3 linked regions of the Nothobranchius furzeri genome follow. The protein of the gene in region 2 interacts with the protein of the main gene of each other region in a pairwise test. Links are inferred from orthologs where the notes say so. Each region holds a gene or a part of one and is shown on either strand. Other genes may lie near its edges.

Evidence for each region.
Region 1: the proteins of esr1 (region 2) and med25 interact in a two-hybrid assay, tested with the Homo sapiens proteins (2 studies listed by BioGRID). The link is inferred for Nothobranchius furzeri from reciprocal best matches to the Homo sapiens genes ESR1 and MED25.
Region 3: the proteins of esr1 (region 2) and pnrc2 interact in a two-hybrid assay, tested with the Homo sapiens proteins (2 studies listed by BioGRID and IntAct). The link is inferred for Nothobranchius furzeri from reciprocal best matches to the Homo sapiens genes ESR1 and PNRC2.

The regions. Positions count from the first base shown.
Region 1 is NC_091745.1:8,253,000-8,256,100, reverse strand, and holds the end of med25 (mediator of RNA polymerase II transcription subunit 25), read left to right. Parts: intron 1-944; coding exon 945-1,109; intron 1,110-1,217; coding exon 1,218-1,338; intron 1,339-2,068; coding exon 2,069-2,104; intron 2,105-2,224; coding exon 2,225-2,328; 3' UTR 2,329-2,511; downstream 2,512-3,101. UniProt on the Homo sapiens protein: Component of the Mediator complex, a coactivator involved in the regulated transcription of nearly all RNA polymerase II-dependent genes.
Region 2 is NC_091742.1:2,861,390-2,865,046, reverse strand, and holds part of esr1 (estrogen receptor), read left to right. Parts: intron 1-452; coding exon 453-569; intron 570-969; coding exon 970-1,148; intron 1,149-1,221; coding exon 1,222-1,375; intron 1,376-3,657.
Region 3 is NC_091745.1:69,954,649-69,958,871, reverse strand, and holds pnrc2 (proline-rich nuclear receptor coactivator 2), read left to right. Parts: upstream 1-1,568; 5' UTR 1,569-1,756; intron 1,757-2,213; 5' UTR 2,214-2,432; intron 2,433-2,632; 5' UTR 2,633-2,652; coding exon 2,653-3,117; 3' UTR 3,118-3,658; downstream 3,659-4,223. UniProt on the Homo sapiens protein: Involved in nonsense-mediated mRNA decay (NMD) by acting as a bridge between the mRNA decapping complex and the NMD machinery. May act by targeting the NMD machinery to the P-body and recruiting the decapping machinery to aberrant mRNAs.

The sequences.
Region 1 (3,101 bases), on a different chromosome or scaffold from region 2:
CTTTAGCTGGTTAGAGTGACTCTTTGAACCCACAGCATTGAACCTGTTCACAATATTCTAATTATCTGAGATTCTGAATGTGGGGGTTTCATAAGCTGTAAACCATAATCATCACAATTATAGCATAAAGACGTGAAATATCTGGCTTTGGATGGAACGAGTCTGCCTCGTATATTAGTTCCAGCTTTTAGGTTGAGTTCCTAAAATGAATCAACTTTGTCACCTTATTTTATTTTTTTAGTTTTACTTATATATATACATATATATATATATATATATATATATATATATATATATGTATATATATATATATATATATATACATATATATATATATATATATATGTATATATATATATATATATATATATATATATATATATATATATGTATATATATATATATATATATATATATATATATATATATATATATATATGTATATATATATATGTATATATATATATATATATATATATATATATATATATATATATATATATACATATATATAAAAGCTTATTAAACATTTTTGGATCCAGTTATATGACATTTAACAGCTTCTCATACACGCAGTACGTTGCTCGTGGCGCTGCAGTAGGTCTTCAGGAGACGTTTCCATTCAGCTGATTAGAAACAAGCTCCTCCTACTGAAGCAGCTTGTGTTTCCTCTGCTAAGTTTGGATCAAGGCTGTTAGGTAAACACAGGTAAAGCAAACAGTGAAAGAAGAAAGTGTTGGAAAATGAAGTCGAATACACATAAAATTAACAAAAATCTTTGTTTCATAATATTTGCGAGTTAAAGTTAATGTTTTTAACGGTTTAGATGGTGGTCTGCTATAAAGACTTTATTGCAGCGTTGCTCCTTGGTAGTTGTGTGATTCGTGTCGGTATGGGATGCTAACGAGCTGCAAGATCTGATGAACTGATTGAAATGTTTTTAGATGACGATGAGAGCAGCCGGACCAGCCAATCAGCAGCCAGCGGTTAGCGGAGCTCCGCCCAATCAGGTCACTCAGAGCGGACAGCCTCCGGGTTCCATACTTCGACTTCCGAACCCCGGAGCCAATCCACAGCTTCGCAGCCTCCTCCTGAGTCAACAGCAGCCAGTAAGAACAGCTGCTGGAGTTTACTTCTTTGTTTTGAGTCATGATTTTTTTACTCTGCGCTTCTACGGGCGAAGTTAACGCTCCGCTTATGTCTCTGTGTCCTTGCAGCAGAATGCGGTGTCTCACATGCCAAACATGATGTCCCATCAAGGCTTAGGACAGCAGCTGGTCCACTCGGCACCAGGAGGGGGGGCTCAAATGCAAGGCCAGTGGAGGCAGCCGATGACAGGTCAGCAGTTCAATTAAGATTTTTCTGCTTCAGTTGCAGAAAGATTTCTTCTTCTTTTTTATAATCTTTGGTTATTTTTATCGCTCCGTTTGCTCCACATATACTTTACTGGTCGCATAATCCTAATATACTCATGAACTGTAAAAGCTGTATTAGTACTGGTTTGTTTATATACAGATTTAAACATCAAAGCAGCCAATCTAGCTGCCAGGTTGGTTTATGTCACGTAGGGTTGGGCGATACGGCCTGAAATCAATATCACGACATATTGAGCATTTCACCTCGATAACGATAAATGGACGATAACTACAGGTATGCACAGAAACTTAAGTAGTCCACTAGATGGGACTGTCACGTGTGTTACGTTGAGTCACATTTTTAAGGTGATACAGCTTCTTAAAGGGACCTGAACGTTGCCAACCCACACACATCTTTTCATTTTTTATTATCAAATGTATTGACATGGGAAGAATTTTGATAATGATACATTTTCCATTTACTGCCCATCCCTATAATGTGGTTTGGCTGATGATTAGCTACATAGTTTTATTAATAAAAATTGTTAGAACAAAGAAAATCAAAACACTATGAAAGATCTTTTCTGCTACAGTTCGGTTATATTCTGTTAAAATTATCATTTAATTATTTATTATTTTAGCATCTTTTGTAAATGGGGCAGTAGACGCATCTTCAATAAAAGAAGCCTTTAATAAATTCTTGTGTTTGTTAGGGATGGACGTTCAGGCAGCAGAGGAAATCCTCGCAGGTCAAAAGCTGGTTTAAAAATCCTTGAACATATTTAACGCACCATGTCATGAGTAAAACTCTGGGTGTTACGCGATACAAGCGGGGCTTTTGAAAGAATTGTTTGTGTTTTTCTGTGCAGGTCAGATGCTGATGTCCGGAGGTCAGAGGGGACCCGTGCCCCAGCCCGGGATGTCCCAAGTCTCCAGTGTGATAGAGGAGGAAATGCTCATGGACCTGCTCTGACCAAGCGTGGTGGACTCTGTAATATAATTTCTCGTCAGTTCCGAGCAGCAGTTCTGGGCTCATAGATCTGTTATTTCTTTTATTTTTGTTTTTGCTACAAATATTTGATATAAGTAAGAAATAAATCATGTATTTTCAGGCTTTTGAACATCAGCTCTCAGCTTGAGTTAACTAGGAACTTGAAAGTGTGTGTGTGTGTGCGTGCGTGCGTGCGTGCGTGAGTGTGTGTGTGTGTGTGTTATTTTTCTTTCATGTAAGTGGTCTAAAAGTGGGCCGCGGATCCTTTGTTCTACCAGCTGGACCGGACCATGGAGAACGGTCCATTAAGTCTCTATAAACTCAACTCATCTACAAGTTTTACATCCCAACATTAAAGTGAAAACTGCTGTTTAGTTCTCTTTTATTTAAAATGTTTGTTTTTGTCCTTTTGATCAAGGTGAAATAAAAATTTCTGTAATTTCTTTGTTTAATTATTCATCAAATTAGTTTGAGAATCAAATGATTGAATGAATCTGGATAACGGAGCAGAGACTCGGTCTGCTCTCTGCAGCGCCGTGCCGGTCTTCACGCTAAGCCTCCACGCTCCTGCTGCTTGTGCTCTAAAGGTAAGGATGGATACTGAAATAGGCACAGTAACAAAGAGTTCAGTGTCTGTTTCTGCCAAACAGTGTTAATTTTAACTACTCCCAATATGTCGAGGAACCATAGAGGGCCGTGCTGTGCCAAGTAGTTCTACCAGATGGCATCAGTTGGCTGCGTTTCCATTGGCATAA
Region 2 (3,657 bases):
TTTGTTACTGAGAAGATGAGAATGAGCTTTGCGAGTTACACAGTCGGCTGTTTGCATGTCTCATTATGCAGCGGTGAATTACCTGCAACCTTGAATGAAACATAAGCTGTCAGACCCAAGTGGAGTCGCTGTCATAAAGGGGAAGATGCATGTCATAAAAAAACGTAGTAATCATTTGTTAACTTTTAGTTTTCTTCTGTACGCGACTTCTAAGCATCCACGGCTCTGTGAGCACAGGGAACCGTCCTCTGTTGGATCCAGCAAAAGGAACGGTCATGAGGAAACCAACAGTCACCATGGCAATAACAAAAACCAAGATGCTATGTTTTAATTTTCTCCATCTTAGATCCATTTAGAGTAGGGAATGGAGTGTTCCTGGCTGCCAAATAGCTTGAATCTGAGCTGGATATTGGACTCAAAGAGTAAAACTAATAGATTTCCTTCCTTTTCAGGTCACAATGACTATATGTGCCCAGCGACCAATCAGTGTACTATTGACAGGAATCGGAGGAAGAGCTGCCAAGCTTGTCGTCTAAGGAAGTGTTACGAAGTGGGTATGATGAAAGGAGGTGAGCAGAATAACCAACTTAATGGATTTTTTTCATCACTTTTATTCTTTTTTGCAATTTTATAAATTTGTTGTTAAATTCTGGGCTCATAATTTTGATTGTTTAAGTATTTTTAGCAGTTTATCATCAGATTCTTCTCATAATAGCTGAAAACTAATTGGTCCATCCTGGCTCTGCTCAGTGCTCGATAGCATAAATACCAGAGCGCTGGTGGAAACAGATAAACATGAACTTTAACAAGACCTTGAAAAGATTTGCTTTTAAGGAGTACGAGTGCTGATTACTACGCATCAACGTTTTTGTTTTCATACCTCTCGAATCGTTTAGCTATCTGTGTAATCTGCAAACTAGATGTTGTGGTTCGACAACTCTGAGCGTGTTTGTCTGCTGTGTCTCCAAGGTGTGCGCAAAGACCGGGGTCGCGTTCTGCGGCGTGACAAAAGACGAGGCGGCGACAGAGACAAGGTTGGTAAAGGCGTGGAGCAGAAAGCAGCAACGCATCATGATGGGAGAAAACGCAGCAACAGCAGCCCGGGTGGAGGAGGGAGATCTTCAATGAGCAGTCTTCCTCCGGAGCAGGTGCTGATTCCTCTGGAGAAAACAAGAAGTCTTCTTTTCCATTTATAGATACGTTTGTTCTTTCCGTCTCCAGGTGCTCCTCTTGCTCCAGGGTGCCGAGCCCCCAATTCTCTGTTCCCGTCAGAAGCTGAGCCGACCCTACACCGAGGTCACCATGATGACCCTGCTCACCAGCATGGCTGACAAGGAGCTGGTCCACATGATCGCCTGGGCTAAGAAGCTTCCAGGTTTGAAAACAGAAAGATTTCTCCCTTCACTCAAGGGAAATCACTAAATTATCGATAACGCTTCACAGTAACGTTACTTAGTGCATTAATAAACAAAGTGTCCCTTTACTTAATTCCTGATATTCCATCCATCTTCTGAACCCGCTTTGTCCACGTAGGGTCGCGGGGGGGCTGGTGCCTATCTCCAGCAGTCAACGGGCAAGTAGGCGGGGTACACCCTGGACAGAGAGCCAGTCCATCGTAGGGCAACACAGAGACACACAGGACAAACAATCACACACACACACACACACACACACACACACACACACACACACACACACACACACACACACACACACACACACACACACACACCTGAGGACAATGTAGAGAGACCACGTTTTTGGACTGTGGGAGGAAGCCGGAGTACCCGGAGAGAACCCACGCATGCACAGGGAGAACATGCAAACTCCATGCAGAACGATCCCAGGCCGGGAATCGAACCCAGGACCTTCGCGCTGCAGCTCTAACCACTGCGCCATGTCTTTTAGGTTCGGACAAAGGGCCAGGGGGTGTTTGTTTAGGAATGCATTACTTAATAATAACATTAATATTAAGCAGCTGTTAATACTTTATTTAATAGTTTATTCATGCTTAATAATGCAATAAGTAACATTAATAAAGGCACCCTTATTGTAAAGTGTTACCAAATGATCTATAATTAGTCATAATAATGTAGTCATCCATTTACAACTAATAAACCCAGTTTTAATATCAAATAAAGTTAATATTAAAGATATTTGCCTTTTGTTTTTAGACTGACAGAAGCTTTTCTTTTAGCAAATAAATTCTAAAACAAGACCAGATTTGCACGTTTAGCACCTTTTTCACCTTTGCCGCTCCCAGGCAGGCTGGTCATCTTGACTGCAGAAACTTTTTCCTACAAGAGGAGCGTTTTTCTTAGACCTCTTTCATTTAGCCAGAACAAGAAAGGTCAAAAATGACCCAGACTGGATGTTAGTGAGATCACCACAACCATCTGGTCGCAGTGTGGTAACATTTCAGACTGGTTAAGTATTTTCTGCCTTTTTATTTGATTTTTGTCTAATTAATATTGGATTTAATATCTAGAATTGCTCAGAAAATCTGTATCACATCAAATGATGCAGATTCAGTTAGCTGGAACGACAGCACGCATCCCAAACCGCAGAAAACACAAGAGCAATACAGAGTTCATTGGACTTTTTTTTAAAGGTGTGGATCACTGAAAAAACCTTTATAGTGATTATTTCTGATTATATTTGGTCACTCTGAGTTTTTCATGCAGGTTGAACAAGAAAATAGTCTCCTACACCTATCTCCTGCGTTAGCTTCTGATAGAAAACAGACGGTGAAACTCTAGGATTAGAAAATCCTGACAGATCTACGTCACACTGTTAATTAACATTGATAGACTCACCCATCTTTACTCACGACGGGGAAGGCTGTTGGTTTAGCGTCCAGGAAACAGCCGAGAACGTCTCTGCTAGTAGAAGCTAACCATTAGCATTAGCAACTCCACCACATGGCAGGAATCCTCCAGGCTTGTGTTATTTGTGGAGATAAAACATCAAGGTTGTAAATGGAGTCAGCGGTAGAGTTGCTATTAGCCAGTCAGAGGTGAGACTTTCAAATTTCAGGAAGGAATACTCCAAATCCTGCCGTCTGAAGCTCTACTTGGGTCTGGCAGTCGTCCTGAAACAGGCGCACCAGGGCTTTTTGTACCCCGAGTACGACTTACAAGGCATTCATTCCTACTAAAGACCAGTGCAAATGTATTTCTTAAATGATTGAACCGCACCTTTAACAGTTTCTATATCATTATCATTTTCAATCCTGTAGTTTAGTTGATATGATTATCAGTTTTTGTCAGGTTTGAATGTCCGTGCACAGATTTATTATGTATCAGGTCTTTGCTCTCTGTTGTGTTTTTATTTTATGTCTTTTGCCACCATAACCTTTAGGGTAACAGCGTGTGCACGCGCGCGCGCGTGCGCACGCACACACACACACACACACACACACACACACACACACACACACACACACACACACACACACACACACACACACACACACACTCACACACACACACACACACACACACACACGTAGAGCCATTAAGGTGAAGGTAGTTACAGTCATCACCTTTGAGAGGATTGTTTAGTCAATCTGCTGGCACCCCATAGAGCCTAAATGCATTAGAAGGTGTGCTACACACACACACACGCACACACACACACACACACACACACACACAC
Region 3 (4,223 bases), on a different chromosome or scaffold from region 2:
GTCTAATATGGCATCCCCCAAAGACGACCTGCACCCTATATACCCGATTTTTATGGTTATATGGTACCATGCCGCTAACATTTTTCAACAACTGGACATCATTTTATTAATTTTCAATAATGTTTAAAGGGATATTTCCAGAGATTAACGGCAAGAACAACCCATTAGCTACATTTACATGCGCCAAATTTCCCCCATCCAATTCAAATTTTGGTTGTTCAGAAATCCCAAATCTCTGTTTACATGGACACTAACTGAAATTATCCGATGCTTTAGATTTTACCTATCACTTTAACTAAGCTAGGCTCAGCGGTACGTAACACCATTTCCTCCACAGAAGAGGGGAGCAGGATAACTTCTGTTCGCCTCCTGTCATGTTTTTGACTTGTCCTGAGCGTCTGCAGAAGCGGAAAAATGTCACGCCAAAGTTGCACACATGCTCAGTGGGCATTACCCCAAGAATCCAAATGAGTGTACATGGACGTCAATTGGAGTGTTGATTGGACAAAATCACCTATCTCAATGGAATTTCATTCCAAATGAGCTGTATCGGATCAGAATATTCCAATTGACATGTTTACGTGAATAATCTTTGATCTTATAGGGCATTCATTCCGATTACTTGTCCCCATGTAAACATAGCTATTGTCTCTTTAAGTCAAACTTACATCGAACCAACTCAAATATAGGCTACATGCAAAAATCTTTGCCATTTTCTTTTATTTCAAAAAAGTATGTGACATTTCTTACTGATACTTCATGGCTATTGTAGGCTTTTTTTTGTCCATTCCCTTGCCAAAAATGTAATTTTGCAATGCTGCAGCTCTCTCAACCGTATTATTTATTTATTTATTTATTTATTTATTTATTTATTTATTTATTTATTTATTTATTTATTTATTTATTCCAAAACACTTTTTTTTAAAACATTCAGGTGGCTGTTATAGCACTCTTAATCAAACCTGGATTGAGAATCTGAAAAAGAGTTTTGGTGAAATAATTGTAACTTGAGCCAACGTTGGGGGATGGGTGGTGTCATAGTTTTCTACAGTCACTGGTTTATGTCTTGTGTTATGGTTATTACATCCTGTTGCAACTGGTCAGAGCTGAAGAACAGATTCAACCCACAAAACGCAAAAAAACAAACAAACAGTGGCATTCTGTTTCAGAAAAACAGTTAAATCTGAAAGGTTGTTGTATTTATCTTGTTGCATAACAAAACACGATTGCGCTGTCGACTTGAAGCTAATATACGGTGTTTTATGTACCACAGGGACACTTCATACTTGCTCTTTTGCTTGTAAACGTGAGATTTTCGTCATCGAGAGTGATTGTTTTGAGTTGTTTTGTCACTTCTCTTAGGAAATACCCGGAAATACCCTAACCATTTCCAACAAAGGAATGGGAGGGAGGAGGGTCAGCCATTGACGTCAGCAGTCTGGCAACAGGCTCGAGCGCGTCCGCTTACCTCTCCTGTAATTGGTCGCTCGGAACGCATTCCCTACGTGATTGGTTGGCTCCGTGCGAGCACGGACTACATAGCTGTGGTGAAGATTCCATTTTGTTGCAATCAGAAACGGAAGGGAGAAGTGGCGTTTCGACGGCCACCGGTAACAGCACACAAGCCTCAAAGGGTGACGGATTTGTAGGAAACATAGACTTCTGTGCTTCCTACACAGTCCACGGAGTGAAATCAGAGGCTAACCACATAAATATTTTCAAAGAAAGGCTTTAACAACCAAGCCTGAGGAAGTCGGTAAGAGAAGCTGTTTTGAGTCTCGTCGCCATGTTGAGTTCCGTTTCTTTTGTTTTGGTTATGTGGCAAAATACAGCGATACGGATTGGGTAGCCGTTTGATTTGTGTTTCTAGCGTTTGTAAATGTGAAATTAGTTAACTAAAGTGCGACTTGCCATATTTTCATCGAACTTTATTAATCAAATTCATCGTAAGTGGTTGGAACAATGATTAATACTAAATGCGTTTTTATGCTATTTTGTGTTTATTTGTTCATTTTTATATCAATAAACCCTGAGAAGTTAGAAATAAGACGACGGGGTGTTGTTTTTGTCTTTGTCATGACGCATTGTGGCGTACACCATTGTTACAGCTAATTAATGCCTTGTTACATAATAAAGACGTGCGTAGCTTTTGTTTTGTATATTATTGTCGCTAGTTTGCGCATCTAAAAAACGCCTTTTCACGCATTTTTAAGGCTCTCGACTTCTTGGAGCATCGTGCGCCGAGGTGAATTGATGTTCAGCTCGGCTTCACGGGAAAACAACGCTCATTGGCACATGAAAACTTCAGACCTTGCTGGACTTCTAAGTGCAGCGAGAAGTAGACAGAGAGCTACTTCGAGGACCTGGGGACCGATCGGAGGTGAAAGATTAAAGAGGGATCTCAGCCACGTCCACTCTCTCACAACAAAGAGGTGAGAGCTGCCTGGCTGGGGGTGTTTTTGCTCTGGGTTGTGTGTGGGGGAGGGGCAGCGCAGCCCTGGACGTCTGCAGCTCCTGCACGTAGCTGCTGCAGCAGCTTGTTTTTTTGTGGAGGGTGCAGTGCAGAGTGCCTTTTACGCAATAACTTTTATTTTAAAAACGAAAATGGTAACGTTTTATAATTGTCTTGCAGGTGACAGGTAGTAGTGAAACATGGGAGGTGGAGAGAGGTACAACATTCCAATTTCCCACCCGGATCGCCCCAAAAAAGCCCATCAGCTTGGCAAGGCTAAGCAGAGAAGCCGTGACCAGAACGGAACCACAGCAGCATCTGTAGGAGGAACGGGGGCCCTTCACCACCACAGCCACCGTCGGAGCGACAAAGGCCCTGCCTACCACAGATCTCCAGAGGCATGGCAGGCCATGTCCTTGGAGAAGAATGCTTCTGTCCGGTTTGCCACCAACTACGAAAGCTGGGAGGGTGCAGTGTCTCATCTTAACACGCTCCTGTCAACCCAGGGCAGCCCGAGCTATGCAGGCCCTAAGTTCAGTGAGCCCCCCTCACCTAGCGTGTTGCCCAAACCCCCGAGTCACTGGGTGTCTTTCCCTATAGCGTCCTGTGACCACAGGGAGATGATGGCCTTCGAGCTCAAAAACCTGCTGAAGGTGCAGGCTTGAGCTGAGTACACACACTTCACCTAACTAGAGCCAATGCTTAGACTGTGACTCTGTTGAGGCATTTGCTCACCAGGAATGCCTCAAAGCTGTAATACACTTAACGTTTTAACAGACATCATCCGTAGCTAAACGTGGACATTTAAAGCAGTGAATTGACGTTGAGTCAATTTCTTTTAAATAGACTTTTAAGCTATTACAGCTTTGCTGCCTTGTTGGTTGGGCATGCCTTAAATGGAGCCAGTTTTTGTAAAACGACGACAAACTGGATTCTTTTTACCTTTTTTTTGTTTTGTTCTTTTTAGAGTTGGCTGTCCGAGCAGATTGAGTGTTCTTTTTTCCCCCCCAAATAGGGGTTGAACTATAGGTCAGGTGACATCCATTACTTTTATGGTCCATTTCTGTGGGCAGCTGAGCTACTTCACTGGTTTTGGTTTTAAGGTTAAAGTCTTTGGAGGGACTTCCAAAGTTTCGGGTGCTAAAGCGAGTTCATGTTTGTAGCATTTTTTTAAGAGCCCCCCCCCTTTTTCTTAGCTAATATATATACCTTGTTTGGAACGAAAAAAGGCACTCAACTGTAGTTCTGCAGGGAAAAATGATATTCTATTGAACGTGAGCTGGTGGATACGGTGAAAGCCTGACCTCGAAGGCTTGAACGAGACCATAGCACATGGACTTCAGACCACCAACTCCTGTATCCCTTTTTTATTGCGCTGTGCGCACACGCACTATAGGAGTTGAGTGTGCCTGAAGTCCGCAACACTATCACAGCATTATTTTGTACAAGTCCTTTTTGATGTGATTGAAAGATATGTGAAGCGCTGGGTAACCAAAGCTTTTTTTTTGTTGACGGCCCCCGTGTGGTTGGCGTGATTCCCACTCCTTTTCTCTTGCCAGCCCCGGCGGTGAATGGGTTAGCATTCCCTAAACATTCGTCTGTTTCGATCAGTACTGTTACTGCCCTTCAGTCTCTGCCTCATCACGACGGTGGCGCAGCTCCCAACGCGCGGAAGAGGGCCTCGTTTTTACGACGGGGTCCAGTTGGGTGCGCGCACGTCTGAGGTGAGGTAGAACCCAGGAGCTTTTCTAGAGGGAAGCAGCTCAAGGGG